4 linked regions of the Pelodiscus sinensis genome follow. The protein of the gene in region 4 purifies or fractionates together with the protein of the main gene of each other region. This does not show direct contact. Links are inferred from orthologs where the notes say so. Each region holds a gene or a part of one and is shown on either strand. Other genes may lie near its edges. The genes, in order: VPS13C, AKAP11, TACC1 and VAPA.

Evidence for each region.
Region 1: the proteins of VAPA (region 4) and VPS13C purify together in Homo sapiens (co-immunoprecipitation; 3 studies listed by BioGRID and IntAct, counting the BioPlex papers as one, with this or other methods). This does not show direct contact. The link is inferred for Pelodiscus sinensis from reciprocal best matches to the Homo sapiens genes VAPA and VPS13C.
Region 2: the proteins of VAPA (region 4) and AKAP11 purify together in Homo sapiens (co-immunoprecipitation; 3 studies listed by BioGRID and IntAct, counting the BioPlex papers as one, with this or other methods). This does not show direct contact. The link is inferred for Pelodiscus sinensis from reciprocal best matches to the Homo sapiens genes VAPA and AKAP11.
Region 3: the proteins of VAPA (region 4) and TACC1 purify together in Homo sapiens (co-immunoprecipitation; 4 studies listed by BioGRID and IntAct, counting the BioPlex papers as one, with this or other methods). This does not show direct contact. The link is inferred for Pelodiscus sinensis from reciprocal best matches to the Homo sapiens genes VAPA and TACC1.

What each region holds. Positions count from the first base shown.
Region 1 is NC_134724.1:41,480,259-41,488,001, reverse strand, and holds the start of VPS13C (intermembrane lipid transfer protein VPS13C), read right to left. Parts: upstream 3,525-7,743; 5' UTR 3,423-3,524; coding exon 3,323-3,422; intron 1-3,322. UniProt on the Homo sapiens protein: Mediates the transfer of lipids between membranes at organelle contact sites. Necessary for proper mitochondrial function and maintenance of mitochondrial transmembrane potential.
Region 2 is NC_134711.1:284,842,473-284,850,153, reverse strand, and holds the start of AKAP11 (A-kinase anchor protein 11), read right to left. Parts: upstream 3,361-7,681; 5' UTR 3,170-3,360; intron 610-3,169; exon of another isoform or gene 37-609; intron 1-36. UniProt on the Homo sapiens protein: Binds to type II regulatory subunits of protein kinase A and anchors/targets them.
Region 3 is NC_134738.1:15,724,395-15,732,107, forward strand, and holds the start of TACC1 (transforming acidic coiled-coil-containing protein 1), read left to right. Parts: upstream 1-4,578; 5' UTR 4,579-5,053; coding exon 5,054-5,205; intron 5,206-6,004; coding exon 6,005-6,120; intron 6,121-7,713. UniProt on the Homo sapiens protein: Involved in transcription regulation induced by nuclear receptors, including in T3 thyroid hormone and all-trans retinoic acid pathways. Might promote the nuclear localization of the receptors.
Region 4 is NC_134712.1:85,505,020-85,513,196, reverse strand, and holds the start of VAPA (vesicle-associated membrane protein-associated protein A), read right to left. Parts: upstream 3,101-8,177; 5' UTR 2,663-3,100; coding exon 2,587-2,662; intron 1-2,586. UniProt on the Homo sapiens protein: Endoplasmic reticulum (ER)-anchored protein that mediates the formation of contact sites between the ER and endosomes via interaction with FFAT motif-containing proteins such as STARD3 or WDR44.

The sequences.
Region 1 (7,743 bases), on a different chromosome or scaffold from region 4:
CACTAGTAAATTTTTTAGCAGACTGACCAGCAGCCCAGCTCAGTTCTGACTTATGCTTTAAATACAGAGTTGCGGGGAGGCGGAGGTAGGTCCTGCATCTGGCATATTAGGAAATGGGTGGGCAGGCAGGCAGCCTGTTTCAGTTTTGGTTTGCACGGGGTCTGGAAGCTCAGCTCCTCCCTCCAAACAGAGGCTGCTGCCACCCTGCACTGCTGCCTCTTGATCACAGGCAACAGCACAGGGTGACAAGCAGTTGGTCCGTAAGAGAAGCTGGTTTTTAAACTGGCTCTCCTCGCAGTCTAGCTCCCACCTGGCACCCTATGCTGCTGCCGGCCCCGCCTCCAGGGACTACAGAACAGTCGACTAAGCAATAAGAATTCATGAGGTTACCTGACTATTCATTAACTGATATTTAATATCCTTAAGTTCAGTATACTGAAACCTATTATTCATAGCCTTAAACAAACTTCAAAGAAACTACTACTGCATTGCTGATACCGTCGAAATTTACAAGGCATTTCAAGAGACATTGATGCAAGGCAATAAAGAAGTGAATGGATCAAACACTAATTTTGCCTCATTTTCTTGCAAACATTGTTAACCCCAGATAGAAAGGTAGATGCCTAACTTTTGAAAATGGTAATGTTGCCATGGCATGTACATCTCAAAAATCACTTCTCAATTATGAGGGTCATAATAAAATTTCAGTGCTGGAGTGAAATCATTTAATCAGTATATGTTTACCGACGATGTTGTGAACAAAGTCACTCCCCTGAATTGGTGGAAGTCATTAGCCAGGCACCTTCCTTCAGTTGCTAAACCAACTTTTCACATCAATAATTTCCTCTTCAGTGGGGAGGTTAGATAGTACTTAACTGCAGGAATTTTAGCAGTTACACAACTATTCAATAGTCAGCAGAGGCAGCAGCCAGTGTGCTCTCAGCCCCACTCCTGAGGAGCCCATTGCCACTCCATGCAGAGGCAGCAGTACGGATAGCAGCAGCCCGTCAGTGGTGATGGGGGAGGCGGTCCAAGCTCTGCTGCCACAGAGCAGCCTTTGCCCAAAGGGAACTCAGACACCACCACCCCATGGACAAGGGGTGCTTGCTTGCAATGCAAGCCCGAGCTGTTGAGGACAGAGGCTGCATTGTGGCAGCCTCTCCTCCACCCCCACCCACATTGCTACCTCTGATCAAGGCATCAGCACTCCGAGGCAGGAGGCATTGCAGAGCTGGTCTTGGGGGGAACTGACTTTTAAGCCAGCTCCCCACAGTACCAGCTCTTGCCTGTCTCTCCCTACCCACTGCCTCTGCAGGAGGCAGCAAGGGGAGGGCAGGTGGGTCCACAGAACATACTTGAAAGCTGGATTCCTGCACGTATCAGCTCCCGCCTGCTCTCCTCACCCTCTGTGCTGCTGCCTCTCTATCAGAGCAGTGCAGGGGGCAGGGAGAAGTCAGATCCAGTGCTTGAGGGGAGCTTTAAGGGGGGACTGCAAGTAATCCACAAGCTTAACTGATAAGCCCAAACTTATCAGTTAATTGTGTAGTATACACGTTGACATCCCTACTCTGCAGGCAGAGAGAGAATATTTTCATTGTATGATATTATTCACTCACAGCTAAGAAATCAACTGGGAGTTGAAAAAGCAAGGAAATTTAAATGTTTCAGTCCATTTGGCAGTAGGTGGAAGGAAGATGAGAACTAGTCGTATAAGATGAGAGCTAGTTGTATACCTTTTGAGGGCAACGTACATTTAGTGTTTTGCTGATTTGTCTGCTAAAAATAATAAAATTTGAATATTTAAAAAAGTTTAAGGACAGCCATCAGCTGACTCAGCTGTCTGCAACTGAAAATATGAAACTTATGTAACATTTAAGATTTAATTTAATAAAATATAAGAGCTATTGTGTTTGCATGTGAGATTTAGTTCTTACCACTTCCAATGCATCTGTAGTGTGACACAGGTAACAAGTATTATGTACTAGAGGTTAAATCTCCCTTGTCCTGGACTCTCAGGACCTGACCAGCCCTGAGCCAGGGAATTTGCCAGACCAGACAAAAATCAATGCTAGCCCCTCCAGTATCCCAGGGTGCCAGTCCCCCACTACTGGCTCCTGGGAGCCACTCTTTCCTAGTCCAGCAACGCTCCTGGCCCTAACCCACCAATTGACTTCTCCAGCATTGGAGTCCCCCTGGGTCACCAAAGATGCCAGACCAGGGTTGTTGCCAGACTAGGGAAATCCAGATTACAGAGGTTCAGCCTGTATTTCCTAAATTAATTTAGGAAATTCCTAGAATATTGGCTACACAATACTGAGAGAGACCTAGGATGCAAGTCAGCCTGGACAAGGGAGTGCTCTTTTGGTGGGGGGAGGCAGGGTCACTTGAAATTTTTGTGATTTCTAGTGTAATTGACCTGGGCAGTAAAACAGACAGGAGTGTCTTCCTCTGTAACTCCATTATTGTATAACACTACAGTAGTACTTAGATTGTATTACATTGGTGAACTCTAATGAGGGAACATATCATTCATCTACCAAAGTCTGCACTGTCATAAGCCACTCCAGACACTGCGGTAAGTCATTTCAGGCGTTATTACAGTAACGTTTGTGTTCAGTTCTTCTAACCACCAAATTCTTCAACTGCACCAGCCAGCAACGGAGACTTCCGCCATCTCCCAGGCCATTTCCACACATGCACAGCTCTGCTAATGCTCCCCTTAGAGCTGATCTCACTGAGCGCCTTGCTGCAGCCCAGCCCCACAGATCAAACAACCCACTGGGAAAAGCCACCAAAGCCAGAAGCTGCTTTTTGGGAGGCTTCCGGTATCTGGCCGCTTGTGACTGACTTGCGATATCAAGTCCCTCTCGCAGCGGGGGGGGGGTCATTCTGGACCCCGCACCGAGCCCCCACCCGAGGGGCAGGCAGAACCAGACACCCCAAGTCCCGCCCGTCTCTATCAGTCCTGCCCCTGGCAAAGCCCGAGCCAGGCGCTCGCTACCCCGAGGCGCCCAGGCAGTCGCTGGCTGCCCCCTGCCACGAGCCAGGCGACAGGGCAGAGCCCGCCTCGGGCGCTGTCCAACGCTGGAGCAGGCAGCGCGGCCACAGGCCCAGCCCGTGCTGCCAAGGGGGAGGGGGGCTAACGGCCGGCGCGGGGGGCTAACGGCAGGGGGCTAACGGCCGGCGCGGGGGGCTAACGGCAGGGGGCTAACGGCCGGCGCGGGGGGCTAACGGCCGGCGCGGGGGGCTAACGGCCGGGGGCTAACGGCAGGCCACGCCCGCGGGGGGGGCGGGGGGCTCGCGGGCGCCGCCCCGCGCTTACCCCCCCAGATGCCCAGCTTGAGCTGAGACTTGTCGAGGTTCTCCACGTAGTCGCCGAGGAAGCGGTTGAGCAGGTCCGCCACCACCGACTCCAGCACCATGGCGGCGGGCGCGGGGAGCCTGCCAACGCCAGGCGCGCGCCCGGCAGCGCCTTGATGTCACGTGCCTGGCGCCGGAGGGGGCGGGTCCTCGCCCCAGCCCCCGCAGCGCGACGGCGCCGCGGAACCGGCGGCCCTGTCACTCACCGCGTCGCGCCTGCCTGGTTGGTCCCGCCGCGCGGGGGAGCACGGCAAGGCCCCTCCCCCTCCACGCGCCGGAGGGCAGGGTGTAGCCCCGCCCACCCTGGGCAGCTGGCAGCCAGCGCGCTCCCACCCTGCTCCGAGGAGCCTCTGCCTGGAGCCGCTGTGCAAGGGGATCCAGTTTAAAAACCAGCCCCCCTCGTGATCCGGCTGCTTGTCACCCCCTGGTGCAGAGGCAGCAGCGGGGGGGGGGGGGGGGGGGGGCAGAAGCCCTTGTCTGAGGCAGGGCTGAGTCCCTGGGTCCAGCGCAAGGCGGGACCGAGCCGGCTGCTGCCCATCTGGCTGTGAATACACTTGACATGAAGAGCCACAGCAGGAGCAGGGCCCGGACCTGGTACAAGCCAGGACTGAGCCAGGCTGCTGTCCAGCCTGCTAACAAATTTCTTGGTCAGGGAGAGGGAGGGAGAAATGGGAGTCGTCTATAGCATTAACCTATAAGTGTTTTACCTATCGGTTAACCAGTTCGTCGGTTACACTATTACATCCCTAGTGTACATGTTTTAAGGCAGCCTGTGTTAGTTCCAGCAGCTTAATGCTGGTGAGGCTTAGTGGCATTGTCAAACCAAGAGTCAGACTCTGTAAACAAAGTCCCTTCTGCGGGGACAAAGGATGGGCACCTTACTTGCTGTCCCCTCTAATGCCTACTATATCTAACACATTTGATTGTCTATTTTAAGGGAAAAAAAGGACAAAAGTATTTCAGACAAACCATCTCACAGATCTTCATATATGGTTACATATCATGCCTGCATGGTTCTTGCCTGTAACCAAATGATTAACTGGTGAGCCCAGATTAGGCACCAAATAAGCAACATTCCTTAAAATGGACACATGGTCACTACAGGCAGTCCCCGGGTTACGTACAAGATAGGGACTGTAGGTTTGTTCTTAAGTTGAATCTGTATGTAAGTCGGAACTGGCATCCAGATTCAGCCGCTGCTGAAACTGACCGCCAGTTCTGACTTACATACAGATTCAACTTAAGAACCCCAAGCGTCCCCAAGTCAGCTGCTGCTGAAACTGATCAGCGGCTGATTCCAGGAAGCCTGGGGCAGAGCAACTCTGCCTCGGGCTTCCTGTAGTCAGCGCTGGTCAGTTTCAGCAGCGGCTGACTTGGGGACGCCTGGGGCAGAGCAGCTGGGGTGCTGCTGGGTTGCTCCAGTAGCACCGCTCCTCGCTCCTTGGCGCTACTGGACCAACCCAGCTGCTCTGCCCCAGGCGTCCTGATTCAGCCACTGCTGAAACTGACCAGCAGCGGCTGAATCAGGACCTGGGGCAGAGCAGCTGGGGTGCTGCCAGGTTGGTCCAGTAGTGCCCAGAGCGGCGCTGCAGGACCAATCGGCAGCGCCCCAGCTGCTCTGCCCCAGGGTCCACAACAAAAGCCTGGTCTGCTGGGGGGGGGGCACACTAGCTGCACCCCCACTCCAGCAGACCAGGGACACGGGGAGCAGAGCCACAGCGGCAGCGGGGTGCCGCGCCTCTGAGGCTTTGCTCTGGCAAAGCCTCAGAAGCGCGGGAACCCGCCGCTGCTGCGGCTTCAGCCCCGGTGCCCCTGGTCTGCTGGAGACGGTCTCCAGCAGACCAGGGGCACCGGGACCAGCTTACGAACGGGGCTTTCTCGCCCCGGAGCTCGCAGGCAGCAATCCGACCTCTTTACTTATGGTAGGTGTGGGGAACTTTTTTGTGTCTGGGGCCACTGGCCCACAGAAAAGTAAGTTGGGGACTTCTCACACAAGTGAGAAGCAAAACAAAAAACAAAAATCCCCAGCCCTCATGGATGTGGTCCCTGACTGAGATACCTCAGTCCTCTGGCATTCCGGCCCCATGGGGCGAGGGTAAGAGAAGGGAGAGGGAGGACTGAGGTTCTGGGCTTCCCATTGGCCAGATTTACTTTTCTGGGGTTCTGGAATTAGTGGATTTTATGGACCCCCTTAGAATCTGGGGTGGGGACAAAAATGAGGGGTTCTGTGTGTGGGACAGGGTTGAGAGTGAGTAGGATAGGGATTGGGAGCAGAAGCAGGCTGGAAGTAGGGTCTTCCCATTGTGGTGGCACTCCTCCATATGTAGCTCCATGGCCTGTGCCGGGGGTGGAGGTTTGTTTTCTTCACCTCCCTGCCTGCTGGCCAGAGCTGGTGGTGCAGCCTTATGGCTGCACACCAACCACAAGGCTGCAGCAGCAGCGAGGGCTCCCCACTGCATGGGAGAAGAAAGGGGAAGTGAACTCCTGCCACGGACCACACTTTGAGAACCAGTGATCTAGAAGCACTGAAAAAGTGTTTGTGGAAATAATGAGAATTCACCTTCTATCATGAAATCTACACCCATTTTAACTGAATATTACAGGGACACAAAGTGGCAGATTTTATGAGTGCAGGTGGTGTATCTGCTCCTTGTTCATATAGCAGGCCAGCCATGAGCTGCACGTTAGATACTCCAAAAACCCATTACTCTCTTATCCCTTAGCTATCGCTTGCAGGGAGTTAAAGTAATATGTGTGTTGAGGCATACAGAAGAAAACCAGCCCTGCCCCAACTCACTAACGGTTTTAAAAATAAGAGAAAAGATAAAGGGTGGGAGAAAGATACAATGCACTAGGCAAATGGTCAGATTGCAGATTGGATGTATTACTTACATTTGATTTTTTTTTTTTTACAAAATATACATCTCAGTTACATCTTTGTATATCATTATTAGTTGATTTACTTGTAAACTTAAGGTAGAGATGAGCCTTCTGGAGGTGAGAGTTATGAATAAATGTGAGCATTACAAAGCTGCTCGAGGTGGAGTTTTTTGTGGGTAATTTGCTAGATTTAAAAAGCAAACCTCAAAAAACAAAGTTCATCACATGGATTTATATTGACACCATCTGATTTATCAACACGGCCAGAAGCTTTTGATCTGTCACACAAACTAATGACTCTTGAGCTATGGAATAACTAACAGCTGTAGTGGGGTGTCATTCTCTATCTCGGGGTGGGTAATAAGTGGCCCAGACGCAGTTCACCCGAGATTATTTTGACCATGGGGGCTCTTGCTGCCTTGTGCAGCCTCAGCTGGCTGACAGTGGGAGCCCCACTCTCTCTGCCTCAGGCTGCCAACATCAGAAAACCACAAAAAAGTAATAGTGGACTGAGTTTCACAGCAAGCTACACTGGGAAAGAATATGCAATTATCCTAAATGTTTATCTAGGGAAATGAGCTGCCACGATTACTTCATATAACAGGTAATGGGGAAAACATCATGCCTCTTTCTCTTACCCTCATAAATTCTGCACAGGACAAATAAACATCTGCCTTTTTATTTTCATTGGTTAATTTACAAATACTTAAAAACAAATGATAACCATATTTCATCTTCACCTATATAAATTCCTTTTACTGCTACTAGACTAAGCAGATACTGAATTCTGCTGTGTGACAGGAATACATGAAGTCTACAGTCTAACCCACTTCTTCTGTACCAGATCTTATATGTTTGTGTAGCATCTAAGGCTACGTCTACACTGCAGAGTTTTTGCACAAACACAAAACTCGCAGAGCGTCCGCACCACAAGCGCATTTTTGCGCAAGAAAAAGTACAGTAGATCATCAGAAGGTGGGGCTTTTTGCGCAAGAGCTATTCCTTTTTCTACAAGAAATAAGCCTTTTTGTGCAAGAGCTCTTGCGCAAAAAGGCGTGTGTGGACGGACAACAGGGGTTTCTTGTGCAAGAAACCCCTATCGGAAAAAGCACAGGTGCTCTGGTATAAATTAACATAATGAAGTCAACTAGAAATTAATATTTGGGAACAGCGATTGTGATAGTACCGAGATAACCATAGCCTGTGAAAACAGAAAGAAAAACTTCAGAAGCTGGTGAAGAATTAATAATTACTGTTAAGGGTACTGATATGAAGGAAACAATTAACAGAGAAATTCTAAAAAGATAGTTTCAGAGATGACTGTATTAAGCGTTGTTTCCATAATGAATGAAACAGTCATCAGAGAACGAGAATATGAGCATTAATTTGAGCAGACAATGAAACGTATGGTCATCTACATCTGTTAGCCTAAGTCCAGACTCTACCTCTCATCACAAAATGTTCACTTGTAATCACTTGCATGGTGGACATGAATGCTTATGT
Region 2 (7,681 bases), on a different chromosome or scaffold from region 4:
ATAATATTTTAGACCAAGTTCTAGTTGCAAAATTACCTGAGGAAGTGTTAAATTTTAGTTACTCTTCTTCTGTCTTCTTAGACTTTTAAAAATAATCTTTCACCATTGTAAACACCAAGTCATCTTTTTCCCATGTTAACAACACAGTAACAATTAACATGGCTATTTTTGTTTATTTCCTGGTAGTGTATCAGCAACATAGATGACAGCATAACGGTCATAAAAATAGTCCAGTATTCTTTATCCATAAAGCTTCTTTAGTTGTATTTTACAAAGCTTACAATGCTAGGAACCATTAGAAAGGGAACAGACAATAAGACAAAATATCACGATGCCACTATACAAATCAACCTTGATAACTGCGGGCACTTAACCCCTTCTCAAAAAAAGGCACATGAGATTTGAAAAGGGTACTCAGAAGGGTAACACAAATGATATGGGTAATGGATCAGCTTTCATATGAGGAAAGATTAAAAAGAATAGGACTATTCAATTTAGAAAACAAATGACTAATGCAATTATAATACAGGTTGATAAAACCATAAATAGTGTGGGAAAAAATAGGGAAATGTTATTACCTCTTCTCATAACCCAAGAATGAGGGGTCACCCAAAGGAATTAACAGGCATCAGATTTAAAACAAGTACTATATATTCTTGTCCATAAGCTGAATTTTTCTGGTAAAAATGTGAATCATCAAAGAGCAGAGGTTGGCTTATCAATAGGTCACTGTTGTCATTGCAGATTCTGAGTCAGCAAACTTTGACTCCCGGCCCGTCAGGGATAACTTGCTGGTGCACTGGGGCATTTTGTTTACCTGGAGCATCCACAGACACTGAGCATTGCCACTTCCAATGGTAGTAGCTGGAAATGGCAGTCAGCACATCCCTTCACCTACACCACTTCCCATAAGATAAATCACAGCCACTTGGAGCTGCAAGGCTTCTTGCCTACAGATGCTCCATGTAAACAAAATGCCCCAGTGCACCAGCAAGTCATCCCTGACAGATTGGGAGCCAAAGCCACCCTCTGCAATATAAGATTGGCTTATGAAAGAGTCCATAGGGTTTTGCCATTTTTAAACTATCCATTGTGGGAATGCGGGCGGGGGGAGGGAGAGGAGAGTTGGCTTATAAACAAACAGGCTAATGAACAAAGTATACATTGTACTTCCTCTCACAATGGACTATCAACCTATGTAACTCATGACCATGGGCTGCTGAGAAGGCCACAAATATAGCTGCTTTAGAAAAGGAGCTAGTTAAATTCCTGAAAGATAGGGCTAGCTAAGTGCTAGTTAAGTTTCTGAAAGACCATCAATAACTATTAGCCACGATGGTCAGAGATGGAACCCCATGCTCTGGGTGTCCCTAAACCTCTGAGTACCACAAGATGGAACAGGATAACAGGGGATGGCTCACTTGGTTATTGCCCTGATCTGTTCATTCCCTCTGAAGCATCTGGTACTGGCCGCTGTCAAAAGACAGGATACCAGGCAAGATCCACTGATGTGACCAAGTATGGCTATCAAGTTCTTATGGAGTATCAGCAAAAGAACCCCAAAAAATACTTATTATTTTGCAGTTTTTCTGAAATGAATCAATAAAGGTAAGCAAAAATAAATATTTTCCTACCCTAATACACACATTTTTAAGCAATTTTAAGGAAAGGCAAATGTTTTCTTAAACCAACAGACTTTTGTTGATTAATCTGTCAAAACTTCAGAATTACCATCCAAAATGTTGGGAGTAGGATAGCTTCTGGATATGGAACTTCAGATTATCAAATAAAATATTTCTGAAAACATTATTCAGTGGCAAAGAAATGGTCCACTAGCTTAATTTGTCTTCATTAAATTAAGGAAAATTATACAGCAGAATATGACAGGGTAGCTGCAACAATAAGGCCACAAAAATTATGCTCAAGATTAAAAGTTATTTGCCAGGGATGCATAGAATTCAGAAGATAAAAGGATTGTGCCATCACAAGTAAATCAAATTGGGAAGAAACATTCTATTTTCTTTGCTGTCCATCCACAATAAGAGTAAGTAACATCACTAGTTTTTTCATCAAGTGAATGGTCTTCTAAATTTAATTTAGGGCAGTGAAATTTCAGGAGAGATGTACAAAGCTGATACAGCATGAATAGTTAGCAGCATAAGGCCTAAAAGCAAGACATGAAAAATCCACTTGCCAATTCATTCATACTGCCTTGAGATGCTGACCTGAGAAATGGGTCCAAATCCACCAATTTGCCTATCATTTAGGATCTCAAAAACAAGCTTCTATTTCCATTTGTATTATGTCTATTAGCATATCTAAGGGCTATCCTTAAAGTTATGAAAGAACCTTTCAAATGTGAAGAGACACAGTGCTGTCCTCCTGAGTCTGAGATGGACAGCTCCATTGCCTCTACCACCACTGGTATCTTTCCCAAGAAGCAGCATAGTGAAATTAAGAAGACTATTGTCATTTTTATGATGCTCCCATTTTATTACAAGAATACTCAAGAACTCCAGTCAGGAGCCTAGTGTTGGATCCTTTAGGCAGAAGTGAAATTGGCTGCTTGGGAAAGTTAGGGTGAAGCCATGAAGCAGCCACTAGCACTAAGAGGGATCAGCCCACAATAAAAGAGAACTGCAGCCAAATTTGGGGGGGTTGGAAGCAGGGAGGCGAACGGGCAATTGGTTACACGGTAAGCATCACCCTTAATGATGTGATGCTTATTGGGCAACAATTAACCGGTCCCTGGGAGCAGCGCTCCACCCACGGCACCAGCCCAGCGGGCCAGCAGAGCCCCCCCGACCACCAAATAAATGGGTTTCAGCTCCCCACCGGGAAGAGACCGCAGTGCTGAGCCCGCTGGACCGGGGCGGCGGGGGGGGGGGGGGGGGGGGGGCTGCAGACGCCCAGCAGCCTCGCACGGGCCAGTAGCCGGACTGGGTCCCGGCCACGCACCAGGGCCAGCGCGAGGGAGCGTGTCCCCCGAGCGGAAGGGGGGAGGCGGCTGCGGAGCGCTCCAGGCGGGGAAGCGGGAACGATGCTCCTCGTGAGGCGAAGGGGATGCGAAGCGGCCCCGGCTCCCGTCCCGCAGGGAACTGGGGGCGCCCCCCGGTCGTTCCCCCCCCCAAGAGCCTGCGCCGCCCGGGCCGGAGGGGGAGGGGCGTACCTGGGTCCGCAGCGTCCTGCGCCCGCAGCCATGTCACACCCCCTCAGCGCCCGGCCGCTCCCGCTCCAGCCGCCGCAGCGCCCTGCCTCCGCCGCGCTCGCGCGATGCCCACCCAACCCTCGCGAGGCTCGCCGGCGGGGCCGACGGGCTGCAATCTCGCGCACAGCCCCCGTGCGCAACTAGGAGGGCGGCCGGGTCACGTGACGGACGGCCTCGGTTCCTATTGGGCGAGCGAGCCGATGTGGAGCTAGCGAACGCGGCCCCGGGAGGGAGTTACGCGCGTGTGCGCGCGCCGCTCAAGTCAGGCGCTCCTGGGAGCCGCGGCCGGTTCAAGGCGCCGCTGTGCAGACGGGCCCCCCCACGCGCGGGTTGGGCAGCCACGCCCTGCAGCCTGGGCAGAGAAGGGGCGCGCTAGTGCTAGGCGGCTGCTCCGCTGCTGGTTCCTGATGGCTCCAGGAGCTTCTTTCGTTGGAGCCGGGCAGGCTGCAGCCGGGTCTGGTGCATCTGGCTCGGGGGCCAAAGTGCCCCTGGCAAGAGTTAACTCCCTCCCCCCGCCCCCCAGGCGGGTTAGCTGTCTCAGCCCCACTTTGCAGGCAGGTAGAAGTTGGTCACTAGCTCTTGCTCCCAATTAAATTAATGGGAAGGCGGCGGCAAAAACAAGTCCCATCAAAGCCCGCCGAGCCTGTACACAGGGAACGCCGAGACCCCGAGAGGCTTCACAAACAACGGAGCATTCAGAAGAGCGAACCTGTTGTGTGCCAATCAGCAGAGTCTAAATGTCTCGCACACAAACGCTCCCTTTAGCCCTAGCCAGGCTTTTGATTTCTGCGTTCAGCTGCTCCTGCCCCTGAATTGAGGTATCCTGATTGGTAAGCACGAAATGTAAAAAGCCCAACGTCTTTTCCATATTCTACTAGGGCCTGCCCTGACTCAATAGAAAGAGGCTTAATGATGTCAGTGAAAGTTGTATCTTGCCCCTCCTACAATGACAATAGGAAACAGAAGATTGGGAGGTATATTTCCAGGGATGCTCAAACTGAGGCAATGACTGCACAGTCTCAATCCATGTTCCCAAAGTCAGGCCCTGAGAACTCGTCTCTTTATTTCTCTCTGACAATGTTTAAAGTCAGTGCTGTACAGTAATTCCTCATTTAACACGTGCCCGTGTAATACGTTTTCACGATAGCACGATTTTTTTTGGAACGTTTTTTGAATTACATGACCGTCCCCAGAATAAGAAGATTTCCCCAGCCGGCTCATTGCTGGTGGTTGCGCGGGGCTTCCCCAGCCTCCCTGCAAAGCGGCGGAGAGTTTGCCGCTCGCTGTGCTGTTCCCCGGTGCCCCCCCCCCCTCGCTGGATGCAGTGCGGGTCCCAACGGACCCATCACAGGGGCATACTTCCAACCCAATCCCCCTCTCCTCTCCTCCTCTTCCCTTCCCCAGAGCCAAACACCTCCCCTCCCTGCTGTAACCCAGTTCCCTTTCTCCCCCAATCTTATGTCCCGGTCCCAACAGACACCACCGCTTGAAACGCAATTCCCACCTTTTCCATTATTTTCAATGGGAAAATTGATCCTGCATAACATGTTTTCACTTAACATGATCATTTTCTGAAACATATCTATAGTGTTAAATGAGGAATTACTGTACTTACTCCAAGCCTAATGACATATTGACCCTATTATAGATTACAGTCAATATCACTTTCAGGTTCTCATGCACTGTTATACAATACTACCAGGTGAGGCCTGCTTCCATTACTCTTTCCATAACTAATTTGGATTACTTTGTGATTTGTTACAGTAAACATTTTCAGTGAACTAAAATGACAGTAAAATGGGCAACTTGATTTTAATTTTGTTAGCAAATATTTTTATGAACTCAAATAATAAAAGTCATGACCTTTTTCCAATGAAAACCGAAAATAATTATTTAAAACTTTCACCCAGCATATTCCTGTGTAAAAAGTAGTGCATTCAGCTCATTTAAATGGCAGGACTGTTTATGCAAAATTTGGTATCTGTAGGTAATCACAAAGTGACATGAACAGGAGTGCTGACCAGCACCCGGTGACTAAGGTGTTAACTCAGGAACCTAGGGAAGGTGTCAGCCAGGGGGCCAAGAGAGCTATTGGGGATAGAGTTGAAATTTGAATTGGATCTAGGACCCCTGGCCTGCTTTTTTGTGTGTGTTTGTGTTCTGCTCCCTCCCCCCCCCCCCCAAATTCAGGGCATAGGAGCGGACTGAACAAAGAGCAAATTAGAAGTGAGTACCAGGGAAATGTGAGTCCAGTCGTGTTCAGGGTAATTTTTCTTTATCGTGTGGTTTGGTTTGAACGGTTCTGTGTGAATCTGTGCCTCCCTTCCCCATTTACTACCATCTAAGCATTGTGCCAGAGTTTTTTTTCTCTCTGTTTTAATTCAGTTTCCACAGTTGCTCTATAACATCTAGCAACCAAGTGTGGTTTGTCACGTTTATCTTTTATTTTGTAATAAAAATCACTTCTTTTAAGGTGATTATTTTATTCTTGTGTCCTGGAAGGTCTGTCTGTGTGTTTCTGCATGTCTCTGACTGAGGAGTCAGCTACCAGAGACTACAGCTTATTCTTCTCTCTTCTTTTTCAAGCTCTTTTGGGGCAAAAGAACTTTTGGGATACCCCTGGGAGTAGTTTCAGGTGTTCACCACTGTTTTTTAAGGCTCAAAAAGCACTTGATGATGGCAGCAAATTCCCCAAAATCTGTGTGTTAGGATTCTGGGGGAAAGTTTTGTAACCAGTGCCTGTAGAAGCAAGGTTTTTGAAGCTCTCTTGCGGGACCCCACCTTCTGCATTTGGAGTGCCAGAGTGGGAAACAGCCTTGACATGAAGTATGACTTTATTTTGCACAAACAAATCTACAAACAAACAAACACTTCAAAATATATAATAGATTTGTATATAGTGCAAGGACTCTTGCTCTATTTTCTTTTTTATGTGTATTAAAAATAGTGTTCCAATTGGATTTATTTTTCATTTTATGGACATACTGATTTAATGCAGAGTTTACAGAGACTCCCCTATCATGTAAGCAGCCTATGAGCAGGAACTCTCCCCCAGAACACAACACAAGCACTAGTAGGAAGAAATGACAGGAAGTAGAATTGTTTGTTTAAGCGCTCTGAGCAGGGATTCTCTGAGAATACACCGAAATGAAGGACTCCCCCCAAGATCCCCAAAGGTTGGCTTAATCCACATTCCTGAGACAAAGCCAGCCTGGCAAGTGAAGACCTACAGAAACAGCTACATCCGTGTGGCTGGGGCCACCCAAACATACCCACAGAGCTTGGGTTGACAGAAAGAAGAGACAACTTCTCAGTTGCTTTCAGCAACAAAGATGATACCTTGTGGTTCTGCTATCCAGGAAAGAACCAACTACTCAGTCATGTGTCTTCCCTTATACCAAGGTACCCTAAAAGAGTGACTGTCGTGCCCCCCCATACTTTATGCAAATTGGCTTATGAATATCCATAACCTAAAGATGCTTTTGGCAAAATGCATTCTGACATTTTTAAAGTTACAATTCGCTGAATGTTTATATTCTAATTCTGTGTCATGTATCATTCTTGTATGGCTAGTTAGAAATATATAAATTGTGGATCTGTTTAAAATTCTAGATGGCCTAACGAGGGCCATTAGTAATATTCCAGAGACATAATGGTTTTGTGCATAAGTTAACAACCTGTGAATGGTTTTGGTTTTGTTGTAAGCCCAAACTGTGGCTGGTCCTATAAGGACATGTGGCCAGACCACCTGATGCTGGAAACCATTTGGAATCTTGTACTTTGCCACTTGAGGTGAGAAAAGTTTGAAGAGATCACAAAATTCCCACCTTGGGCAATGAGGTTATTAAAGTGAGACATCAAAGCAACAGGGGGAGTGGCCAGACACCAGGAGACCACCTGTCCCCACTTACTATGCAAGTTGCCTGCTGGAAAATCTAATACTGAACAGCGGAGAGGTTCAAGAAGGCTGTCGAGTTTGTGGAAGATCATTAGAATAGCTGTTAAGGTCAGAATTTGCATATAACAAGTTTCTTAGTGTATTAGAATTAGCTGGTGGGTTCTTTTTATTTTGTCTTAGTACTTTGATCTGTCTGTTTTCACTTGCAATCACTTAAATCCTACTTTTTACACTTAATAAAAAATACTTTTGTTTATAATCAAGCCAAATGTAAATAATTGTTAGCTGGAGGGGGGAGCAACGATTCTGCATATTTCTTTTTCATTGATAAAGGGGACTGACCTTTGTGAGCTTTCACCGTGTAAAACTTTTATACAGCGTAATATGGATTTATTGGGGTTTTGTTACTCTTTGGGGCTGTTTGTAGGTGCTGTCAATGGTCATATAGCTGAGCTGGTTCAGCATCTTTTTGAGGGCTGTTATCCCTACTCTGCCTTGACTAGGGGACACCAGAGCTTCTGGCCCAGCAGGACAGGATGGTGCTGTGTCCCACAGGGGCAGGTAGGTGGGGGCTC
Region 3 (7,713 bases), on a different chromosome or scaffold from region 4:
AAACCATCTTGTTAGTCTTTAAAGTGCTGCACAGTCCTGTTTTTTGTTTCAGCTACACCAGACTAACACAGCTACATTTCTATCAGCGTTTTGCAAGGGAGTGATAAAGACTGTGCTTACTTGCATGCTTTTAATAAGCAATCTTCCTATGACAAAGGCACCCATTTTAAAACGCAACAGAGCTCTGGTGTAAATACAGCAGCATGGCACAAAATCCGGCCTGTTTGTTCTGTGAAATCACTAGCACCCTGGAGAGTAAAAACACCATCACACGTCTTTTTAAACGCAACGTCCTGAATGAATTGTGCCCCTTGACTGATGTGTAAAATACCCAGTTCTGTAGAGCCCTGCAGATCTGCAGATATCTACTTAATCTACATGGTATCCGCATTGGCAGGTGTGAATGCAGATATTCACGACTCATTTTTGTGGATGCGGATACAATTTTTTTAGCTAGAACCCTGCAAATTTGCAGCTCCCCATGGGTGCAGATACCCACGGATCATTTTTGTGGTGGCAGATGTGGATGCAGATTTTGTACCCGTGCTAGGGATGTGCATGGTTAATCAGTTTACGGGTAAGCCTTACCCTTAATGGGTGAGGCATTCTGGTTCCAGTTAACCAACGGGGGCTGAAGCTGTGGACCAGGGCTGCTCTGGCCTCCCGGTGGGAGCAGGCTTGATTTTGCGTTTGCAACATTCAGCGCTGGATTTGCTCTTCCAGCAGCCCGGGAGCCTTGCCCGGAGCTTAGCCCACAGCCCAGCCTACAGCTGATGGTCATGGCCAGGATCGGGAAGGAATCAGATTGGCAGAGACCTGGGTGAGTTTCACCTTCCGCTGCAACATGGAGCACGAGGCACTTGCTGTTCAAGCCTGTGAAACAGGCGGATTCTCTGTCACCCGCGTCTTTAAATACAGCTTTGAGGGTTTCAGTGACTCAGCCAGAGGTTCAGGGCCTGTCACGGGGCGGGGAGAGAGTGTGTGTGTATAGGGGGGTTCTGTGGCCTGCAACGTGCGAGGTCAGGCTGGATGATCCCAAATGGTCCCTTCTGACCTTCCAGTCTGAGTTTTTGAGCAGCCGCGGGAGAGATGCGACCTCGTTCCCAGGGCTTCTCTTGTGCAGGGAAACGTTGGGCTGCATCTCACGGTTCTGCCACCAGGCGGTGCTGCCTGCGCGGCGCCTTGTTCCAGCTCACTCCCGGGTCAGAGGGAAGAGCTGGGCGCATCGGAGCGGGTCCAGAGGCCAGCCACAGAAGTGCAAGGTCTAGAAGCCAGGAGCCAGGCCGAAGGGCTGAGAGAGCCGAGCGTGTTTGGTGTAGAAAGGAGAACCCCGGGGGGAGGGGGTGAAAGGCTTCAAATATGTGAGCAAATTACCACGGGGATAGCGGCCGGTTGCCGGCCACGGCCACGGAGGGCAGGACAAGAGGTAATTGGCTGGATCTCAGGACAATCGTTGACGGGGCCGAGGGAGGTTGGGGAATCCCGCTCCGAGGAAGGTTTTAAGAAACGGTTGGACAGACGCTTGTGAGGGATGGTCTGGGCTCACTCGGTCCTAGCTCAGCGCCGGCCGATGGAGATGCCTACCAGCCCTGTGAGTCGATGAAAATGAAGAAACTTTTCCTGTTAGAAAAGCCTGAGCAAGGTACAAATGAGGGATGGTTGCCGAGCCTTTCGGTGCATGTGAGGCTCGTGCGCTGCCGGCTTCCTCCCCGAAAGCAGCTGGACCGGACGGTCTGTACAGATGCTGCGAAACCCGGGATGTTAAATCCCGTGTAATTACTTAACCGGATAAACGTGCGTCTGCGCCGCCTGGGGCGCTGGGTGTCCACAGCTCCCCCGCCGGTCTCAGGCGCGTTCCAGTTTGATTTCACCGCCCCCGCCGCTGCCTGCTCCTTCCTCTCCTGTGGCTGACGGGAGGCTCCTTTCTTGGCAGCACTGACTGTGCCGCCCTCACAATAGAAGGATGCTGTTCATTTCCTCCTCCGATTGGCTCACGTGTCTCTGATCCCCGTCCAACAAGTGGAGGGTTATACAAACGTGCTGAGCCAGATACTTCCCCTTTGCGGCGGACTTGGGTTCCTCCTGCCGACCGCCCGGCCATCTTGCACTGTTCAGCGTTCGCGGCGGCGTCTTTCCGCAGAGCCACTGGCCGAAAAGCCAGGTTGCCGTGTGCTGGTTTTAATGCAGCCCTGCGATCGCACGAGCGAGGCCCCTGCACAGACAGTGACTGGGGAAGCCTTGGATGGGGAGGGGAGAGGGGGAGTGTTCAGCTTCTAGCCTGCGGCACAAGAGGGCCCTTAATGCCATGTCACAGCTCTCCAGATCTGCTTCTGTAAAGATCTTCCCCCAAATCAGGTTGTGCTCTGCAGCCCATACGCTGCAGGGGAAAAGCGTGGGCTCCTAGTCCCTCTCCAGCCCTCCAGCAGGGAGGAGGGCTTGGTTATTAAAGCAACTGCTGGGAGTCAGGGTGCTTGGGTGTGCTCTTTGACTCTGCCACCGATTTCCTGTGTGACCTTGGACGAGTCACTTAACACCTCGGTGCCTCGTGGGGTGGCTGCATTCACGGTGGTGTGCAGACCACGTGTGGCTAGTGCGAGTGTAAATAGTGGTGTGGATGGCAAGACACCGCCTAGGCCAGGCCGCCTGCATCTACCCAGCAGTTTTTAGCACTGCGTGTCTTGCTCCCTCGGCTTTCGCTGCAGCTCGTAGCTGCTCGGGGGTGCCCGTACCCCGCGCAGACGTCGCTTCCGTTTCCTCACCCCTGAATAGCAGCTAGTTCCACTGTCCTGCATCGCGGGCGCTCCCGCCAGAGGCAGTGTGTCCTGCATCGCGGGCGCTCCCGCCAGAGGCAGTGTGGCCCTGCGGGCAGGGCACGAGGCTGGGAGCCAGGAGACCTGGTTCTGGTTCTGGCTCTGCGTGACTTCAACGAGCTTCCCTCTGGTCCCCAGTGAATGGAGCCGGGCTCCCAGGGAAGTGTCGGAGGCAGGGGGTTGGGCCAGTTGCTGACTGGGTGCTGTGGGGTGCAGCGGGGGGTGGGGGGGAGGTGGCCCCGTGCATGCTTGTGGCATGGCTGTCAGACCCTCGGGCTGTTCTTCCCCTGGGCGCGGCTCAGCCCCAGAAACAGCCAGTGGCCCACACTGCAAAGGCCCCTTGACACCCCTGTAAGGGGGCGTCCCTGGCACGCGTGGGCTGCAGCACCCCCTTCTCTTTGGCATGGCGGGGAGCTGCAGGGGCCGTGCTGCCCTGGGGTGGTTAAAATGCCCCTTCTCGAGAATGCTCAGCTGCGTGGATTCCAAGGCACCCAGAGAGCACCATGCCACGGAGCCTGCCCGTCAGTCGAGGGGGTCCTGTCTGTCCCTGGGTGCCCCCCAGGTCTCCGAAAAAGTGCTGGAGCAGGACATGCAGACTCGGCAGCTGAGCCAGGCCCAGAGGGGTGGGAAACCTTGTGTCCTGCAGAAGGGGCGTGGGGCTCGTGGCTGGGACAGTGGCCTCCTGAAAGCCAGGGGGCTGTTTGTCCTGTTTGTCCAGCTCTTTGCGTGGCCCCCGCTGTATCACGGAGGGTCTTTCTATGGGATGTCGGAAAGCAGCTGGTTAGGTAACTGTAGCTGGTAAAAATCGTAGCGGTTACAGGCTGGGGGTTCTGCGGTACCAAGCTTGTACCTCAGAGCCCGCGGCACAGCCGGCTCCCCGGGAGCAGGGCCGGCAGCCAGCGCGCACTGGGAGCCGGCTCCCGCTGCCAGCCCCGCCCCCAGGGAGCCGACTGCCCTGCTGCACAAGCTTGGTACTGCAGAGCCCCCAGGCGTGAGGCAGCAGCTGGCTCCTTGGGAGCTGATGTGCCCCAGGAGCTGTCTCCTGGCCCCACTTCTGGCTCTCAGCTCTGCCCTCAGGGAGCCTGCAGCGCGGGGTGGCAGCCAGCTCCCCGGGAGCCAGCGGGTAACTGATGCATTGAGACGGTTGCAGTTGCAGCCCTAGTCCAGGCGCTGCCTGAGTCCCGGCCGAGCTGCCCGGTGCGTTTCCGTCGAGTTAGGCTGCAGCGGGCGAGAGTTGAACCCCCACCCGGGAGGCCACCCCTCTGCCTTGTGCCCATTGCCGCGTGGGCGCGCTGCTCCCCGGCCGGACCGGGCATGTCTCCCCCCCGTGCCAGGCCAGGGGGACCGGGCCCCTGCGCGCACCTGGGAGGTGTTCGGAGGCAGCCCCCGCTTGTGGGCGGCAGGACCCTGCTCTGCAGGGCTGCAGTGGCCCCCAGCGGGCAGCGCCCCGGGAACGGCTCCAGCAGCACACGGGGCAGAGAGGCCGAGGATCTGATGCCTAAGGGAAGCCGGTGGGAAAGTCCAGCCCAACTGCAGCCTGAAAAAACCCAAGGGCATCTCCACGGGGTGCAGCCCCCCCCCCCCCCCCCCCGCACAGAGATAAACAGGGAGCCGGCCGGAGGGCTGGAGAAAGCCAGTGATTACTCACTCCCAGAGCCGAGACTGTTGCTAAGGCGGCTGGGGGGGGAGTTCCTTTGAATGCTCCTCTCCCCTTCTCTCCGCCCGGGCTTGGTAACTTCGCCCCCCCGCCGCCTGCCCGCCCCCCCGCACGTCGGTCCCGGCCAGCCCCCCTGCCGCAGGGGAAGCGCTGCCGGCGTGCCGAGGCTGGAGGCGCGGAGACGGGCGCCCTCCCCGCCGGCGAGAGTAGTACAGTCCGAGGGGGAGGCTGCGGGGGAATGTACAGTATGTTTCTGGCAGCCAGCTGATGCGGGGAGTCCGGGGCTGGCATGCAGCGGCGAGGGGCGAGGTGGCGGAGCCGGGGCTGCTGAGGGCTGTGCCGCGCCGGGGCCATCTGGGACGCATTGCTGCTTTTCCTGTCTCGGCGACAGGGCGGGCAGCAGCTGGGGGAGTCGCCGCAGCCCGGCAGGCAGCCTGCCCCGGAGGAAGCTGCCGAGGGCGAGGAGCCGATGCTTCGCACTTAACCACATCCGTGCCTGGGCTCGAAATAGTCCCAGGCGTCGGTCACCGCTCCCCTCCATTTTGAAAAGCCTCCCCGGGCCGCCGGAGCCGGGGAAGCTGCCCTCATGGCGTTCAGCCCCTGGCAGATCCTCTCCCCGGTCCAGTGGGCCCGGTGGACATGGTCCGCGGTGCGGGGAGGGGCAGCTGATGGCGGTGAGGACGAGCGAGAGATGGAGGAGGATGACTCACAGGCAGAGACCAAATCCCTGAGTTTCAGGCAAGTACTCGGCATCCCTGCTCTGCAGGGACCTGGCGTTTGCATGGGCCTCTCCGGGCCTGGCGGGTTTGCACGTGGAACGGCCCTCCTCGCACGGCGCAGCCTCCCGGGGCACAACCCCCCGCCGGCTCCGCATTTGTGTTGCTTGCCAGCCTCCCCCTCCAGCGCGCGCTGACTGTTCTGTGCGTGGAATCCCCAGCATTTGCATCCGCCTCGGCCAGCTCTGCCCTGCCCTCCGGCTCCCCGCGCCCCGTGGGGGGCGTTCGCCAGGTGAACCCCCGGGGCCGGCGCCCCTTCTCGAGAATGCTCAGCTGTGTGGATTCCAAGGCACCTGGGCAGCCAGGAAGCTGTGCCCGGGCTTTGGGGCAGGCTCCGGGGCACGGTGCTCTCTGGTCTCGCACTGGGGAGAACGCGCAGGTCAAGCCTTGTTTGCTGAACTTCCCAGCACCCAGGGCAGGTGCCGCAGCAGAGGAAGGAGCTGCCCAGGGCTGCCACGTCCCCTGGGTCAGTGACCCCTGCTGAGGGCCGGCGCGACAGGTACCCAAGGATCAAGGTGCTGGGTGACTGATCTCTGCCGGATGGGCACCCGGGGCGGGGAGGGGCTCCAGGGAAGTTTCCAGGAGAATTCACTGTGGCCTGGTTTCACGTTTGCCGTGTCAGGAAGGACTCGGCCGTGGCTGCCAGCTGGGTTGATTTGCGGGTCGGCCTGGGAGCCGGGGCCCAGGCTGGTGGCAGTTTGGGGCACGCCGCTGAGCTTGCCTGGAGAGTGGTAATTCTTCATTCTTTCCCTCGTTGGCAGCTCGGATTCGGAAGGCAATTTTGAGACCCCTGAAGCCGACACGCCCCTCCGGTCACCTGTCAAGGAGCCTTGCGACCCCGCGCTGGGACGGGACGCGGCCGAGGCCGGGATCCAAGGTAAAGAGAGGCCCCGCGTGTCTGGTCTCATACTCGGCTCCGGATGCTGGAAATGGGGTGGGCCGGGGAAGGGAGGCTGTTTGCTTGGGCAGTGCCTGGCCTGCATGGTTTAAATGCAGATGCTCCGGGTTATGCACCTGCTGCCAGGGGCCATTTTCAGCTTCGTGCAGGGTTGATTTATTGAAGAGCTTTCAGGGGCCCTGACATGTGACGGAGTCGGCTCGATTCCCCGGCTCCCGCCCCAGCTGTTGTGCAATAGTTGGTCCCCCCCACTAGCCGCAGGGCAGAGATAGCGAGCAGGCAGGAATGTGACAGCGCTGCCGAGATGTCTGGAGATCTGGTGTTTGGCTCAGGCCAGCGGAGGGCAGAGCCTGCAGCCAGAGGCGGCTCGGCCTGATGGAAAGGAGCAAAGGAGAGTTTCAGATTTTTTGCATTTTCCAGGTGCCCTCCCTAACGTCTTCCTGAAAACCTGCCTGGGCTAGGCACTGACGTGTCTGCCTGGCTCCCGGGGTCACTGCTCTGGCGGCTGATTGGCGGGTGCTGTAGGGCTCACAGGCCGCTTCGTCCCGCGGCCCCTCTCGCTGCCGGCTGCAGCTGAGCTGTTGCCCGGCCAAGGGGAGGTTGGCACTTGCGGTGGCACGGTGCAGAGATGACAGGGGTGCTGTTTGGACATTTGGGAGAGACTGAGTCATGGGTGAAGGGATTGGAGTGCCTCATGGGCGTTTGGCCAGAGAACAGAACCACAGCTGGGCAGCCTGACCGTCTGGGCACGCTGAGCCCGGCTCCAGGCTGCCAGGTGCAGATGGAGGAAGAATTCTTCCCAGGAAGATCGGGTGCCTGCTGCTAAAAACTGCCGCCTGAGCCGGAGGTCCGCGCCCGAGCGAGCTGTCTCCTGGTGGTGTCGCGGCCCGAGGGTGGGTGCCGTGTTCCCGGGCTGCACTGCGGGACTTGCCGCTGGGGCTGCAAATCTGGGAAGCTAACCGCTTGCCCTGCCGTGGTCATGCCCCAGCTCTCTGAGGGTGTGTCGACACTACAGAGTTAGTTGGAACTAGGAGGGTAATGTAGGCATACCGCACTTGCAAAGGAAGCCCGGGATTTGAATTTCCCGGGCTTCATTTGCATAAGCGGGGAGCCGCCATTTTTAAATCCCTGCTCGTTCGAACCCCGTGCAGCGCGGCTACACGCGGCACGAACTAGGTAGTTCGGACTAGGCTTCCTATCCGAACTACCGTTACTCCTCGTGGAATATTGTAGGGGCGAAGCAATCTGTGTTAGGAGGCTCTATCCATCGCCCTGTCCCCGAAACGATGGCTGTGAGTGCTGTGCTCACACGGCTACTGGACCGTTTAATGCGTCCATTAAACCCGCCTCAGAACAACGTGTCTCGGGTCCCCGGGAGGCTGGGAGCAGGGGGCATGGGACAGACGCCCAGGAGCTGCCCGGCGCTCCATGGAGTAATCAGGAGTCAGTGGGGTGGCGGGTACGGTAGGCGCGGGGAGGCTTTGCCTTCCCAAACCGCCAGACTGGCTACGCCCCCAGAAAGTACCATGCTCCAGGGCAGGGAGGCTGGGGCCGTGTGCTGGGCGGGGGTAA
Region 4 (8,177 bases):
CTGTGCCTCAGTTTTCTCAATTTATTTTTAAAAATTATTATAATTATACAAATGTTAGAAAATAAATCCTTTGGGGGCAAAACAAAAACTGTTTTTATTCAGGACTCTAAAAATCCTAATCTGGGTGTCTGGTGTGCACACGTATTTGACGTTAGCAATGCTATATGAATCAACAACTTTCCATTCACCCATCAAAAAAACTTCAGCAAATCAGTGGCAACCATAGTAACACTCTATTCTTTTATCAACACAATATAATTTTGCCATATTAGATTTCAAACAGAACCTATTTGAAGGTACATTATCATCAGATTGCTTAATTGGTATAAAGGAAAATATATCACTTAGTCTCCCTCCACCAACTTTCTAAGTTATTTCATTGGAGAAAGTGTTTTGTTGATGGTCAGAACAATGGGCAATTAATATAAAAGTGTACATAGTGGGATGGCATGTAGAATGAGCTAACAGATCCACTGTATCTGAAATGCACTAAGTTTGGTCCTTCTATACAGACACTGAAAGGCCCTACTTTGCTTCATACTCTTTAAATATCCCCTTCCAGAAAAGCCTTCCCAACATCTATACTTGTCTAAATAAATTTTAAGTTTACACTTAATTCTTACAGCTCCCATTCCAAAGGTGCATACTGAGCCTATTTGTTTGCTTACTCATATCCTTCCTATACACTTTGAGTAAGAATCATCATTGGACTGCAATCTCAACAACTCTGTTTATACCCTGTAAATGTTATGTGTTTTGGGCTAAAAGAGACATTTTAGGACTAGGTCAATACACATGCAATTATAAATATTAGCTTTGGTGTGACATGCATCTATGCTCATTCTACTCTTCTTGTGAGATGTGAAATATAAATACAGTGCAGTCATTCTCCAAGACCACGTACAATTTTGGGGCCTGCTACTCTGAGAGAAACTTAAACTAATAATGTTTTAACAATGTATAATCAAAAAAATCTACAATTTTGAGTGTAACTACCAAAAAAACTAAAGTAATTCCTGAGGGTTTATTTTAATTGACTAAACGGGTAGAGAATAATTCAAAGCTCTGAAATGAAAATCAGTTTGGTATAAATCTGTCTTCTCTGATAAGGTTTAAACCTTGTTGAAAAAGCATGGGCTATCTAAAGTTAGGAACACAGTTACCTTCTGTAAGGTACAAGATCACATTAGCTTTTTCTACTTGCCCATTAAAGGGTTCTACAATTAAACTTTCAAAATCTCTCAAGAAACACAAGACTGTCTCGGGACCCAAAATACTATAAATAGAAAATGAACCTGAAAATTAACACAGTTAAAAGTAAAAAGTTAAATACAAACAGAGTAAAGGATTAGCTAAAAAGTATAAGAACTGCCAATACTATTTGAACAGCTAAGGCATTTGTATTTATGCAAATAGTCTTATTTATAATTTCTCAACATTAACCGTAACAATTTTGTTTCCCAGTAAATGCTTTACCTAATAAATGTTCCACTTAATGCCCTTTGTCAATCTGTAAGCACTGAAACTTACCACATAATTATGAATACCCACCCCCTTCAGCACAACTTGTTTTTGTTTGGTTTTGGTCTTCATCTTCTAAGGAGCCTGTCTTCCTAACAACTGAATGTGCGTCTATCTACTCAGAATACCCCTCGCTATTAAAGTTAGGGTTTATCAGGAACAGTGTATTTAATCAGCTATTTTAAGGGAACGGTTTTAAGCCAAACAGAATAAGACTGCATAGCTGGAGCCATACAAATAGCTGACACATTACCAAAAAGTTAATGAACTGCCTACCGACACAATCCGAAGGTTTCACCTAAAAGTGATCTGAAATACGCCAGCGTCGTATCATCTGCCTCCCAAAAGGGTCAAACTCCATCTGGGAAAGGAGCGTGCCATAGCAGATCCTCTAGCGATACCAGCGGATGGTGCAAAATAGCACCACTCCCTCCCCGCTACTAACCATTGTTAACAGCTGGCCTCAGCCCAGCCGCAAGCAGAGCGCAGCTACGGCCAGGGCACAGATTGCAGAGCACCTGGGGACCGATCTCTCCCCACACACGCTCCATCCCCCGGACCGCTCTTCCCTGCTCCGGGGGTGGGGGGGGCGCACACGCCACAGAGGTGTCGGGGGGAGGGAGAGCTCTGGCCAGGGCAGCGATGCCAGCGCAGTCCCGGCCGATGGAGGCCGGGCGATGTGGGAAGGTTTAAGGGCCTGCGGCTCAGACGTTCCCGGCATGAGAGCGGAGGGTCCCGGCTCCCGGCCCGGCAGTATCGGCTGCTGCGGCACCTGCCGCTTCTCCCCGCAACCCAGCGGCCTGGAGCCGGAACCGGGCCCGAGGCGGCGGCGCTGGCCATGCCCGAGACACACGATTCCCTGCGGGAGCTCAAGATGGCGGCGGCGGCGGCGCCGTGTCCCGGTCACCGGCTCTGGTTCCCCACCGCGCAGGGAGACCGGTTCGGGCCCTGCCGCCGCCGCCGCGTCCCTCGGAGAAGCCGGGGCCCACGCGGGGGGCGACCCAGCCTGCCCGCGCCACCCCGCAGCCCCTCGGCACGAGGCAGCCCGGCCCGCGCGGCCCGTACCTTTGAATTTGAGGTCGGTGGGCGGATCGAGCACCAGGATCTGCTCCTGCTTCGCCAGAGTCCCAGCGGCCGCCATCTCGCTCGTTCGCTCGCTGCCTGCCGCGGGGGGAGGGGCCGGGCAGAGGCGCCGCTCGCTCGCTCACGCCGGGGAGGGGGAGCAGCAATGGGCTGGGGTCCGGACCGAGCGGCCGCCGCCTCGTTTCCCCCTCCGCGGGCGCGCGCACGCGTGCTCCTCTAGTTCCCCCCCCTTTTTTTCTGTAAGAATTGATTCACCCCCCCACACACACACGGCGGCCGCGCGCGCACTGCGATCAAACGCCAACCTCCCCCCCGGGCACGAGGGCTACGACGGCAGTGGCGGAACCCAAGTGACGCATGCGCGCGGCGTCCTCTTCTTTCTCCCTCGCTCCCGCCGCCGTCCGTTGACAGCTCGCTCGACTTGGCCTCGCGAGCCACTTATCAGTCAGTCACACACTGCCTCGGCTGAGGCAGCAGGGGGCGCGTAATCTAGACGACTCAGATCGCGAGAGCGGTTCGAGGGAAATGAAAGAAGGGCGCATGCGCACCGAATGGCGATGGAGGAAGCGGTGTTCGACGTGGCCAAAGTTCCGCTTCAGGACTATAATCCCCAGCATGCAACACTCTGATGGTGTTGGAAGCATTGCATGCTGGGAATAGTAGTCTTCAAGGGCTATATCAGTGCGCGGCACAAGGGTGGGGTGGTTGCCATTGGCTTCTCCTTAATGCGATTGATGTCTGAGAGGAAGAGAGGTGAGATCCGCCCTCTGCTGAAGGTAGAGCTGGATGGAGCAGGTTAAGCGTTTGCTTTAGGAAAAGGTTTGTAGATAGAAAAATAACCTCACTTTGCTATAGACACGTGCACTCTGGACCTCTCTGCCTTTTCAGTGGCCCAATGTAGACCAGGTTGTGCTCAGGGGGGCAAAAACTGGACTGTTTCAGTGTTGGGTTGTAAGAAGATTAGCCCCATTCATACCAAAGAGTGTCCAATATCCATGATTGAAAATGAGAAAAACAAGCCACAATTTATTTGTAGGTAGAAAGCTGGGAAATTCACTCCCTTTTCCTGACTTTAAACGTGAAATAAATTTCTACAAAGAAAATGTATTTTCCCTTTCATTCTCTCTGTTGCCTTCCCCGCTCTCCTTTCTAAGGTTTGCATTTCTACTTGTTCTTTAAAAATAATACTCTTCGTAGGTAACAAGACAAAGGATTACATTATTTACAAACAGTATAGAAGAAAATATGACCTAATCTAAAAGTTATTAAAATAATGTGAACTGTAATCCATTCAAATCTTCCCAAAGGAGATGAGGACTATACTGTACATGTTACACGTGGAGTCGATTGCTCTTTTCCCCCTCCCCTTCTCCCCTCTCCCCTCTCCATCCCTAGGTACACTGGCAGAAAATGTCTAACTAAATGAGTGGAAGGGCAGCAATGAAAATGATAGGTCCAGCAAAATTGTAACAAATATCTTGCTTGAAATCTAGTGAAAATATCATAGGAGCATTAACAGGAACAGCACAGTCATATTTCAAACAATATTTACTACTAATAATAAATATCCATCAATTAATAATTTACAATTTTTGCCCTAAGGGTTGGATATCTCACCCCAAAAGTCAATTTCCCACAAAGAAATAGGGTGACAATTCCAAATGGAAAACTGACAGCATTCCCCCCCTTCTGGGTACTGTGGTTTAGCAGGCGAGGGGGAAGGGAAGGGAGGAGGAGGCAGGGCTTAACCTAATTCCATTAAAATCAATGCAAGTTTTGACATTGACTTCCATGAGAGTAGAATTGTGTCCTATCACTAGTTCTAAGTGCTGATGAGCAAAATCGCAAAATACTCTTGTTTGGTTGTGACTATATAGTTTATGTTGGTAAGTCTGATGGTGGAGCTTCTGTATGACGTGAGCACAAGAATGATCCAGATGGTCCTAGCAAAACTATTCTGGTGCTGTGTGCTGTCCAGTACTAATTTTATATTGCTCCAAAAACAAGATTCTAAATTGTTTCCTTTTCTTTATTTATACAGGCAGTCCCCGGGTTACGTACAAGATAGGGACTGTAGGTTTGTTCTTAAGTTGAATCTGTATGTAAGTCGGAACTGGCATCCGGAACTGATCTGGAAGCGCCACGGGTCCGGCCCCGGGTCCTGCGCTGCTTTGCTCCCCGTCTCCCTGGTCTGCTGGCTCCCGCAGCAGACCAGGGAGACGGGGAGCAGCTTTTCTCGCCCCGGAGGAGGCGGGCGGCGGGACCAGGCGTCCCGCCGCTCCAGTCCTCCGGGGCGAGAAAATCCCCGTTCGTAACTGCGAATCCGACATAAGTCGGATCCGCATAACTCGGGGACTGCCTGTAGTAATACTGTATATATCAAGTTGCCTCCTGATTCATGTCTAGTGGGAGTTTTCCACTTTTTCCCTACATCCAGGATATGTCTTTCTCCCTCAGTTCTAGTTACACAAAGACTGGTAAATACAACTATCATCTCTGTCATGGTGTATTATTTTTCTCTTGTTCACATTGATTTCCCTTTTATTCTTCTTTATATTCACTAGCTCCACTGTAAGCCGTTCCAAAGAGAAAACTAGCCCCTCTTAGTCAGCTCAGAATTTTTGTCATATCACTGTCTTCTTGAAAGAGCCTCCCAATTAGTCAGATTTGTCTCTATTTGCAGAATTTTAAAGGCCTAACTTTTTAAGGACCACAAGTTGGGAATAGCTGTAAAATTTCAACTGCCACAGGCTCTTCCATTGGCATCAGTCTTCTAAGCTGAAAACTACCATTGGCACAATTAAGCCCTTCATTTTTAGTTTGGATTTAAATGGTGAAATAATGTCAGTAGTATCTCATAAAACTGTGGGCAGGATAGACATTACTGCAAATTTTTTCACAGAGCCATGAGGGCTGCATCAGGCAAATTATTGAATAGGGTAATTTGCCTATAGTCATAAATTTGAGTTTCTGATCTAAACATCCTGGTAGTTGCAGGGATACAACATGGAACTGAATAAACACTGGTAAATGGGTGTATGCTGACACAAGTCTAAGAGCAGCTGGCAACTGGGTGGGGATTTTGGGGTGATGATGGGGTATGGGTGAGTGAGTGGGTGCTGGACTAGTTAGAGGTACCAGGCTATTTATGAGTAGTGGACTTTCTTGTGTAGTGAGTATTTGCTGATTGCTAGTTGTAGGATGAATTCTGGGTCATCAGTGGCAGCTGCGGATCGCAGGGATGTTTACATGGAGCAGAAAGGCTATTAGAGATAAGAGCATTGGTGGTGCTCGTCCACTGGGTAGCATCTGAATCTGTCCTTGTGCTCAGCTTACAGGGAACACTGGTAGCAATCACCCAGCAGGAGTTGGAGGAATCGCAAGGGCTGGGTCCCATAAACAAGGATCAGGCCATTATCAGAGACCCAGAGGTCTAGAGGCAGGAGTGAGAGTCAGGTTGGAGTTGGAGACTGGGTAGGCTGGAGCAACAAAGCAGGAGAAAAGGCTGGTCACAGTCTGTGGTTACAGAATCAACTTCCTGGGTCAACCCCTGGGATTAAATGAGTGTTTGGCTAATCGTAGGACCCCAGAGTACTGTCACTCTGGATCGCCTGAGCAAGACATTCTGCTGTGCCTATAATCCATAATAGGCTATATACCTATGCATGAATTCTCAGTGGCAATGAGGGAATAGCAACTGTTCTAGGCTCCGCAGATGCAGGTTTTTGTTCTGGGCTCTTATGACTGAGGAGTGAGTGCTAAAGTATGGGACTATGCTATAGGGCTGTCAACTGCATGAGTGTTACACAAGATTTATGATACTTGGCTCTCTGCAGAGTGTTCCAAGAAGAACATGTTAAATAGGTAAAGAAAGATCCATGCATTGTATCAATTAAAGTAATAAGAAGACAAGCAGACCAGTATCAAGATAACTCAGTTGGCAATTGGAAGTCTAAGACTTTGTCTTTCCTCACTTTTTTCTTAAAATGTCTCACTTTGTTACTACTGGCTCAGCTCCACTACTATTGTAGCAATGGTGGTTAGTATTATTTTAACCATCATGTCAAGCTCTGAACAGTGTTAGATACAAGGGTTAAAATTACTGGTGCAGGAGGCCCCCGCTTTGCGACGGCCTGATTTATGACCCCCCCCCATACTTCCGACCTTTTCTGTAAGTGTGAAAGAGGCTGAAATCCCCTAACTTATGTCCTCGGCCCCGCATTTACGACAGCGTACGATGCCTGTTGTAATTGCGGACTTGAGTTATGATGCCCTTGACTTGCGACACTATCTCTGGAACCAGTCGCATCGCAAATCGGGGGCAGCTTGTAGTTGCTTTGTCAGAAAATGTTAAGGGAGTAAGTTCAGGGTGGACATAGTCTTAAGGGTGACCAGACCAAAGCTTGCAGTTCAAATAGATGGTTTGGACCAACCTTCCGACCTCCTTCATAAATTCAGAAGAGCAACTTGAGGCTAATGCTGAGTCTGAGGCAGCTAGCATGAGAGAGCTAAAACTGGAATTCGGTTCCTGCTCTTTTCACCTTAGTAGAGATGAGCAATTTGTTACACTAGAGTCTATCCAAACCAAGGGTGGGCAATAAGCACTCTGTGGGCTGGATGTGGTTTGCCAGGGTTAGCTTCTGGCAGGCTGCTGGCCATTTTATTTACCTGCATCTCCACAGGTATGACACGCACAGCTCCTGTTGGTCATGGTTCACTGTTCTTGGCCAATGGGACCTTCGGGAAATGGTGACTCATAGCGTCCATTGGCCGAGAACAGTAAATGGCGGCCAACGGAAGCTGCAAGTGAACATACCTGTGGACATGCAGATAAATAAAGCATCCAGCAATTGTCCAGGAGCTAACTGTGTCTGGCTCAAAGACCACTTATTGCCCACCACTGATCCAAATCCTCACATTTCTAACAGTAAATAAAAGCAGTATTATATAGCAAGCAAAAGACAAAGTAAATAACAGAGGGGTAGCCTTGTTAGTCTGAATCTGCAAAAGCTACGAAAAGTCCTGTGGCACCTTAGCACTTGCACCCTCTTTCAAGAGAGGGATACAAATGAAGACATTCAAAATTGCAAATGGAGCCGGGATTTAAATATCCCGCTCTTCATTTGTGTAATTGCATTATGGCGCTATTTCGAAATACAAAAAGTGGTGTAGATGCAGTTATTTCGGGAGAACGCCCTTCTTCTGAAATAACTGTTAAACCTCACTATTGTGCTATGGTAAAAATAAATAAGCATGAGAAAGACTGGTTTTAATCAGGTGCAGAAGTTGTTGGCCAGTATTAAGAATTTGCTAATAATATCTAGAAAAGGAACATTACAGGTAATATATTTGCTGTTAATTTAAAATTCAGTCAATATGTTGTGGGCCAGTGCCAAGGTTTCTGTAATTTTCCAAGTTTGGTTTGTTGCAAATGTGGTCCACGTTTGCATTTAACTAGTCATAGACTAGGCTGGCAGGTCTTGCATTTTTACCCAACAGATGATTCATGAAATATTAATTCCTTCTGCAGTCAGGAATAAAACCTGCATAGTTTTATTGATGGGATCTTTGAC